Macaca fascicularis: one gene and its partner. The protein of the gene in region 2 binds, or shares a complex with, the protein of the main gene of each other region. Links are inferred from orthologs where the notes say so. Each region holds a gene or a part of one and is shown on either strand. Other genes may lie near its edges.

Region 1 (4,315 bases), on a different chromosome or scaffold from region 2:
CTTGGTTTCCCCAAGGATCACTTCCACAATGCCGGTAATGTTGCTGTGCGATGGCAGCTGGATGTAAGGCCTGATTTTGTCCTGGTAGTGTTTAATGGGAAACACCTGCAGAGAGAAGGGGGCCCATTTAGGGGGCTAGAAAAGCAAAGGCAGCCTCCCAAACCCCTGAGGGAGCTGAGCAGAAGTTCTCAACGTTTGGGCTTAGAATGTAAGTTCCATTCACCTACTCCGTTTCCTCTGCCACCTTACCTCGGCCCCAGCTGCCCCCGACACCTTTAAAACCAGTAACACCTGGAGCTCTAGACTTGCAAATACCCAAAGGGTTACCCGCTTTCACACAGATCATTTGAAAGAACTGTCTCCTTTACATGTTCCCATCTTCCATCAGCTCCTGAGAGTTAAGCAAACCCCCCAACATCTGTGGCCCTTTCCTGTTTGCAGGCCACACTAGTGAGTGGTTGATAGAAGGAAGCCCCTGGCCTGTCCAGGAGCTGAAAAGCAGTCCCTGGACATGCATGTGTCTCCTGCAGACCCAAAGTGCTCAGCACAGAAAGGGCACAGAATGTGGTGACTCTGCAGCCTCCAAGGGGAAGCAGGGGCCAGAGAACATGCAGAGCTGTCAATAATCAGAAGGAACAGATGACTTGGAGGGGGAGGCTGGGACAATGCAGCTTTAAGCAACCTGCCTACAGTCCGACTCAAGTGTAAGTAAGCCGCCTTGAGTTACAATTCTCACAGGAGGGGTAGGGGATCCTGCGAATCGGTTTTTCATTTGTTTGTTTACCCCCCACACCCGACCCCACCCCTAAAAATGAGTAGCATCTCCTCTCTTCTAGGAAGCTGGCTGATCTCTTTAGAGGCCTTTTGTTTAGTCCAGTTACTCATATCCTAGACTCAACTGGAAACGGTGACACACGGGCTGTCACCATCTGGATTCAGCTATTATCTGCTCAGAGGAACTGGAAGGGGTTGCACAATGGCCAGACTCACCCCACCTCTAAGAGGCCTGGCTGCTCTGGCAATCCCCTGCTGCCCCCTCCTCCCACCCACCCCATCCCACCACACACATATGCTTGTCCCAGAACAGCTCTGAGCCCCAGCCACGGAGAAGAAAAGGGTTTTATCTCCCCCTATTAAACTGGGCTTGATCATGCGTTTGAAATTTCATTCGGGTTGGGCAGTAGGTGGCAGCAGCGAGCCCCGGGACGGGGTCGGGGTGTTGGGAGTGTCAGGTGAGTTGCGGAAAACGCAGAAGCGACTTAACTGGGGGCTGATCCTATCTTTCGGGTGAAAAGGAGCAGCCCGAGGGTGCTCTGGGGTGCCTCAAGCAGGGGTGTCATGCTCGCATAAAGTAGACTGTGGGAATGTTCTGCGTCTACCCGCGCAGGAGGAGGACCCGGCGGATCCTGTTTCTAGGAGCTGTGTCTCCTCCTCCTGGATGGGATCCCTACGTTCAAAGGAAAATCGCTGGCTGGAAAATAAAGTGAATCGAAGCGAGGGTTCCTGCCCGGTGTGGGCTTTTCAACATTTCTACTCCGAGCAGATTCCTCCGCCTCGGGTGGAAGACTCTGGGACTGCTCCCTTGGGAGGACGTGTTCTAGTCCCAGCGCGAATTCAATTCGGAATCCCCAAGGCAGGAGCCGGACACAGTCTTCCAGCGCTCTTACCACCTACAACTGAGCCCGGGTGCCGTGCAAACCCGGCAAGAGAGATGCCAGCTGCTTCAATCTCCTAGGAGGCACCCACTGCAGGGCGTCCTTCCAGGACATGGGGTGGGGGGGGGCGGGGGGTGGAGAGCGAGGAGAATGAGAGAAGGGGAATGGCATGGCCCTGGAATCCATTTCAATTCCACAACTTATATGGAACGCCACGCGCTACACTGGGCGCTAAGGAAAGGAACAGAAAGAGAAGGCCACTGAACACTACACTTCCTCTAGGCGCCCCCATTATACCACTCCATGGGAAACCCCTCAATCCACAAAAAGGTGAACCTGGTCAGATGGCGTCTTATCTGACCCCATCTACTGATCTGCCCTGTGCCCAGCCCAAGCGTTGGCCGCACCCCAAGCACCTTTGCCTACTACCCCGTCCTGCGCCCCCGACCCCAGCCGGGTCCTGGCCCGGGAGCGCCTACCTTGCAGCGCAGCTCGCGGCCAGTGTGGATGCACAGCGCCCGGGACACATGCTCGCGCTCGGCTAGGGGCAGCAGCAGGTAGTCGGCGATGCGGCTGGGCCCCGGCGCGCTCCCGGAGCCGCCGCCGGTCCCCGGAGCGGCAGGTGGGGGCTGCGGGCTGCAGGGCGAGCCGGGGGGGCTGAGGTAGTCCGGGGGGCTGGAGCACTCGGAGAGGCGCGGGCACTTGGCCGCCACGGCCGCCGCGTCGTCGGCGTCCAGCAGGCGTTTGGCCGGGACGCCTCGGGCGGCTGGGAACAGCAGGGCCGGGCCGCGGGGTTGCGAGGCGCCGCTCATGGCAGAGCGAACGGGACCGACCCGCATCCCGTCCTGGGCCGGGGCGGCCCCGGCTTTTTAAGTCCCGGGATCCGCGCGGGAAGACGCTGCGGGCTTGGCGCCGGCTCCGCGACTTCTTCCAGCCGGCGGGATGGAGTTTGCAGACTGCTCTTGGCTCGGCCCCCACTAGGGGCAAAGCAGGAGCCGCTCCCCGGCGCTCGCGTTGCACGCGGGGACCACGCTGGCTGTGCGTCCGGGGAGCGGAGGCCGGCTTGGGTCCCCGGATCCCCGCAGGCAAGGGCTCCCGGAGCCTCGCTGGGGGCGGCCGCCACTATTGTTGCCTAGGCTGCCGACAGTCCGGGAGGCAGAGGCGGCGGCGGCAGCGGCCAGCGATCCCGGCTTCCCGAGCCGCGAGGACAGGATTCAGTAGGCTCGGCGGAGCCACGAAGCAAATGCACTTCCCAAAGCGATGAGTCTCGAGCTAAAGCCGGGGGAACTTTTTCGCGGCGCTCGGGATCCTGCGCGCTCCTGGGCTCCGGGCGTGTAGGAGAGCGAGCGAGACGCGCTCAGAGAGAGTGACTGTGAGTGAGTGTGAGCGCCGCACCGATCCCGGCCAGTGCACTCCTCCTTCTCCTTTTCCTCCACCTCCTCCGCCTCCCGGTGACTCACGCTGTATACACACACACTCACAGGCCGGGCTGTGTAAACAGTTGGGAAGCCGGGTTGTGCAATGAGGTGGCTGCGACGACTCCGGCCTCGCCGCCCGGCGAGCAGTCTCAGGAGCGGAGGGAGGAGACTTGGGGGAGGGGAGGGAGAACAGGAGGTGGGGGGAATGGGGGTGGCCCGAGGGCTGGGGATGCTCGGGGCAGCGCGCTGTCGGGCACAGGTGGTGCGTCCCGGGCCGGCCTGGGCGCGCGCACACGCCCCCCGGGCTGGGCTGGGCAGGAGGTGGCGCGCGCCCTCCGGCAGGCCCCCAGCTCGGCCGAGAAGCCGAAGGAGGGGGCGGAGGAAAAGTTCCCGTGACGTAAGGGTCCGGGGAAGTGGGCGGGAGGGGCGGGGCCGCGGGGAGCGAAGCGACCGCTGATTGGTGCGCGCGCCTCATTCACAGCAAGCACAATGGGCTGCGGGCGTGAGGCGGGAGCGCGCACCACGGTTCTGTGCACCCGCCGCCCGCTGCAGCCCCGCGGCGACGCCTTTCGCCCCGGGGATACCCCCACCGCCCAGCGCCTGGGGAGCTCCAGTTGGAGCCGTGGGCGCCGCCGAGCCCCGGCTGCAGCCGGAGGAAGGAGGGGGATGGGGAGGTGATGAATTCCAGAATCAGTCATTCACCCCCACGCGGTAGTTCCGGGGAAGACCTGTGCGTGGTAGTGGATGTGGCTTTTTTTTTCTCTCTCTTTTCCTGCCCCCTCCCAGCTCTAATCCCCAGCGTCTGTTCGCTTCCACAAATAGAACCTTCTGTTGGATGAAAGAAAAGCAAACACTGGGCCTTCTGCGCTGCCTCCACCTCCACGCCCCCCCAACCCCCCCGCGCCTGCCGCCCGCCCGGATTGCACGGAAATAGCTTCTCCAGGCTCCCGGGCCGCCCCTTCGCAGTGACTCGCAGAAAGAGCTTCCTGAGCCAGGGCCGGTGGGAAACAAAGGATGTGGGGAGCGGGCGGAAGGGGCCCACGTGGCTGCCGCCAGATTCCTGCTCCCTCCCCAGCCTCCACACGCCCCGCAGGGTCTAGGGCCTGAGTGCCAACCCGGGTAGGTGGGTAGGCCGGTGGAAGTCATTCTGGCCACTGCCAGAGATACCTCCTGCACCCGGGCAGCCCGCGTGATTTGGGTGAGCGTGAAAGTTGTGCGTGAAACAACTTGGAATCTGTCATT
Region 2 (4,500 bases):
AAAACTAGCCGGGCGAGGTGGCGGGCGCCTGTAGTCCCAGCTACTCGGGAGGCTGAGGCAGGAGAATGGCGTAAAAACCCGGGAGGCAGAGCTTGCAGTGAGCTGAGATCCAGCCACTGCGCTCCAGCCTGGGCGACACAGCGAGACTCCGTCTCAAAAAAATAAAATAAAATAAAATAAATTAAAAAAAAATAAAAAAAATAAAAGCATAGAATAATTTGAATTGGTTCACAGTTTGACCTTGGAGCATATAAGACAAGACCCAGAGCCAAACAGGAGGGGGGAAAAAAAAAAAAAGGATTCCTTGGGCCTTGCCTAATCCATATCATCCTACCCCAAGAGTCTGGCCAAAATCAAACCTGGCTTGAGTTTTAAATCAGACTCTCAATTAATTCTTCTGAATATTAAACCTCACCAGAAAAAGAAATAATTAACTAATGAGATTCTTAGAAAGTGGAATACTCAGGGCTGCGGTGGCTCACACCTGTAATCCCAGAATTTTGAGAGGCCAAGGCAAGCAGATCACATGAGGTCAGGAGTTCAAGACCAGCCTGGCCAACATGGTGAAACCCCGTCTCCACTAAAAATACAAAAAATTAGTCAGATGTGGTGGCAGCTGCCTGTAATGATCCAGCTACTACTCGGGAGGCTGAGGCTCCAGAATTGCCTGAACCCGGGAGGCAGGGGTGGTAGTGAGTCAAGATTGTCCCACTGCACTCCAGCCTGGGTGACAGAGTAAGACTCCGTCTCAAATACAAATTTCTACTCTTTAAAAAACTCAGGGTTCCCAATTCCCTATAGCATAGCCTACAGTGCACTGAAGTTCATACGGTGCCTGGCCAACAGTGAATGTCATACAAGTATTTCCTGAATGACAATGATCGATTCTTTATTTCTCACATCTTTTACTCAATTTTAGTGTACTTACATGGAAACTAACATGTTTGTGTTCGTTAAGTATACTAAAAATGAAAATGCAAACAGTGGCTAAAAAGACAACTAAATTCTGCACACCCCCCTTTGTTTCATTAGCTTATTAGCTACTCGCACTATCGACTGTGTAGACGTGCAAACACTTCTCAGCCCCAACCACAAACTGCTTGTTTATAAATAACAATCATACCTCAAATGTTCAATGAAAAACAGATTAATTCTGATCCAGAATAACGTACAAAAAAGCAGAAAGGTGAATAAAGACATCATTTTTCTGCAGGAACTAGAAACTGTAAGTCTAATCAATAACTTTCCTAACAGTTCCAACTTCTAGCTCTATCATATTTAACATCACCAACTCAGACCATCTTCAACTCTGATCTGAATCAACTTCCCTCATAACGACTGTGCAAGCAGCCAACTTCCTACATGCCTAATATTCGATCAACAATTTCCTCAAAAGGGAAAGTACAAAACACTACCAGTTCTTAACTAGCTAACAGCAATTACTTCTCATAATCCTACCAATATCTAAAACCCAATAAAAATTCCAAAACACTCTCAAGCAACACAATCAACTCCACCTTTCACTTAATACGACGACTAACCCCTCCATCCCAAATGTCCTGACTAAATGCTACTCTGTATCATCCAAGATGCCAACTATGATGACAAAATGTCTAAACCTAGCATTTCTCAAGTCAGAAGTTCCAGCATCCTCTGTTATCCAGTATAGTACAGTTACATCTGACACAGGGACGTTATTTAACAAATTTGGTTCTCTCTTTTCAAGACACTTGGTGGAAAAGTGAAAAATTTGTTAACAGACTTTGACTACAGTCGTCTTAACAGCAGATTCCTAAGTGGCCCATCCTTCGAAATGTCAGGAGAGACATATTTACACATGCATACGATGGGTACTTACATTATTATAAAAAGCATGTCTTTATAAGACTTCCATGCTTATGTTTACAGCATCATCTACCATACTTCAAATAAATTCTGACCAATTCCATCCCTCTGCATCCCAGGAAGCTTAGTCCTCTCCATTTGCAAATTTAATTCATCTCAACAAGTACTCCTGATTGACTGGGTGCTCAATTCATCAGAGAGCCAAAAATTTTAAGACTCAACCTCTTTGCCAACTTTGTTATCCAAAACCATTTATTTGACCTTCCACCCTCTTCCCTCTTTATTCCCTAAACTCCCTTCACTTCCTCCTCAGCAACACTTATCTACCTTTTTATTATCCCCACCCTGCCTGGCTACTCCAACATTCCTTCACTCCACCAACCTGCAAACGCTCGAATCCCTCTGCAGACACCACCACAGGACCAGTATCCCAGGCTCTCCAACAAGCCACCCCCCACCCCCGAGCCTAAGCGGCAGAAACTCATAATTTAGGGACAAGGAGGGCGTGCTCTTCAAACCCACCATACGAAGTCGTTGCTTTTGTCCTCGTAGGAGTTGATGAGCCCGTTGCAGAGAGGGGCGAGAAGAGGTCGCTTCCTGCTGCCGCTGCCTAGGCTGGAGCTGCTGCCTCCCACGCCGGCGCTGGGCCTGGCCACGCAGCTGTGCCGGGACAGGCCCGTGGACACCGCCCCGCCGCCGCTGCCCGACACGGCGGGTGCCACCAACACAGGCCGCACTGGGCCCCCGAGGCCGCCCGAGCCGGCGGGCTGGGCCGCCCCGCCGGACACCAGCGCTGCCGCCGAAGCCGCCACGGAAGGCGGCGACGGGGAAGAGGATAAAGACGAGGAGGCGGAAGTCACTGAGGAGGCCGCCGAAGAGCCGGGGCTAGTCCCAGCGGAGCCCGACCCGGCCTGGCGGCTACCAGACATCGTGACTCCCTCCCCTCCGGCCGGACGCTCGGAGGAGAGGGACCGCGACCTCGACCCTCCGCCGCCTCACCTCCTCTCCGCCTCAGTGCATCCTGCGGACGCCCGCTGAGCCGGGAGGTGGGGCTGAGGAACAATAAAGTTGCGTTTTTTTTTTAAGGCAACCACACAACAGCGTCCGACGGGAGGGGGCGGAGGAAACTAAAAAAGCGCAGTAGAAGACACTACCGCTGTCGAGGCCGCCGCCGCAGCTGTCGCGGCAGCAGCCAACCCCGACGCGCCGTGGCCGGCCGTGCGCGCGCGCAAGAGCGGCGGAAGAGGCGGGCGCGGCAGGGGATACAATTGGGGACGCAGCCGGGCTGCGCTCAAACACAAATGCCGCGCCCTCGGGGACTTGGGTTCCTGGCAAAGGGAGTCTCTCTGTCCCAAGCCGTTTTCGCTCCAGAAAACGTGCCAGAGAGCAGACCGTCCTAATGCAGTAAAAGAGTCGAGGAGAGTGGAATGATTGGTAGAGGTGGTGGGGTGGTTTGAAAGACGGGAATGTAGAGGGCGGAAACCCTCAAAATGCGACTGCGCACGCGCGCGCTGGGCGCGGACGCTCACACGTTCCCAGGGTATCCGCCCCAAGCGGAGAATATCGGCGCAAGCGCGGAGGCACCGTGTTACGCATGCGTGCGAAAGCACCATGGTCCGGAACGGGAAGAAGGAGCTGTCTCTTGCCTCCTGAGGGGTAGGCAGCTGCTTCCGAATCGCGGAGTGAAGGTTCTCGCAAGCTGGAGACTCACGGAAAGAACCTAGAAGCTCCGAGAAGTTGCAAACAGCACTGCATTGAACCAACGCCTCCTGCTCTACTGATGGTGATTCCACAGTTTTGTGAGGAATAAGTTAAGATGAAGTCAGTGAAATTTTCTGCAAATTGCAAACATTGTAGCAAGTGTTACCAATTTTATTAGTAGACCACGACTTCACTCCTGTATTTTGAAAAGCTGTTTGCCAAATTGAACATAATAATGGGAAAACAGATTTTGCCCAGTCAGACCCAGCTCAGTCAGAACCTAGGTTTATTGTGGATCTGATATAATTCTAGCACAAAACAAGGAAACCTAGCATTTAATACCACCAGAAAATACACAATTTCTGGTAGGCTTTTTTAGAATATTGAAAATTGATTGTAGGCGGGGGCGGTGGCTCGTGCCTGTCATGGGCAGCACTTTGGGAGGCCTAGGGGGTCGAATCACCTGAGCCTGGAGGCTGAACCTGAGGTTAGAGACCAGCTTGGGCAACACAGCGAAACCCCGTCTCTACAAAAAGTACAAATAATTAGCTGGGCATGGTGGCAGCAGGCCTGTAGTCCCAGCTACTCGGGAGGCCGACGTGGAAGGATTGCTTGAGCTGGGCAGGTTGAGGCTGTAGGGAGCGGAGATCGCACCACTGCACTCCAGCCTGTGAGACAGAGACCCTGTCTCAAAAAAATAGATGGATGGATGGATGGATAGATAGATAGATAGATAGATGGATGATAGATTTTCATTTGCTACATTCTAAGGGGTGGAAGTTAGAAACAACTGTGATTTTTATCCTTTTCAATTCTATCATTTTATGATTCTTATATATTTATTTGGGAGTAAAGTATTGTGAAAATACTCATGACTTAGTAAACTATTTGCGTATTCAAGGAGGTAAAGGCAGACAAAGATTTTTGATTTTTTTTTTTAAATGAGAATTACGT

The links.
Region 1: the proteins of COP1 (region 2) and TRIB1 are in contact, whole or in part, in a crystal structure (PDB 5IGQ), measured with the Homo sapiens proteins. The link is inferred for Macaca fascicularis from reciprocal best matches to the Homo sapiens genes COP1 and TRIB1. Residues at the interface, in NP_071902.2 of Homo sapiens: Ile423, Ser425, Val441, Lys472, Tyr491, Trp517, Asp534, Ala556, Asn557, Cys559, Ala576, Asp577, His578, Lys600, Ala601, Ser603, Thr618, Lys643, Asn644, Phe645, Phe699; in NP_079471.1 of Homo sapiens: Asp355, Gln356, Ile357, Val358, Pro359, Glu360, Tyr361.

What each region holds. Positions count from the first base shown.
Region 1 is NC_088382.1:135,091,357-135,095,671, reverse strand, and holds the start of TRIB1 (tribbles homolog 1), read right to left. Parts: upstream 3,058-4,315; 5' UTR 2,495-3,057; coding exon 2,135-2,494; exon of another isoform or gene 250-2,134; intron 106-249; coding exon 1-105. UniProt on the Homo sapiens protein: Adapter protein involved in protein degradation by interacting with COP1 ubiquitin ligase. The COP1-binding motif is masked by autoinhibitory interactions with the protein kinase domain.
Region 2 is NC_088375.1:33,768,413-33,772,912, forward strand, and holds the start of COP1 (E3 ubiquitin-protein ligase COP1), read right to left. Parts: upstream 3,046-4,500; 5' UTR 2,775-3,045; coding exon 2,368-2,774; intron 1-2,367. UniProt on the Homo sapiens protein: E3 ubiquitin-protein ligase that mediates ubiquitination and subsequent proteasomal degradation of target proteins.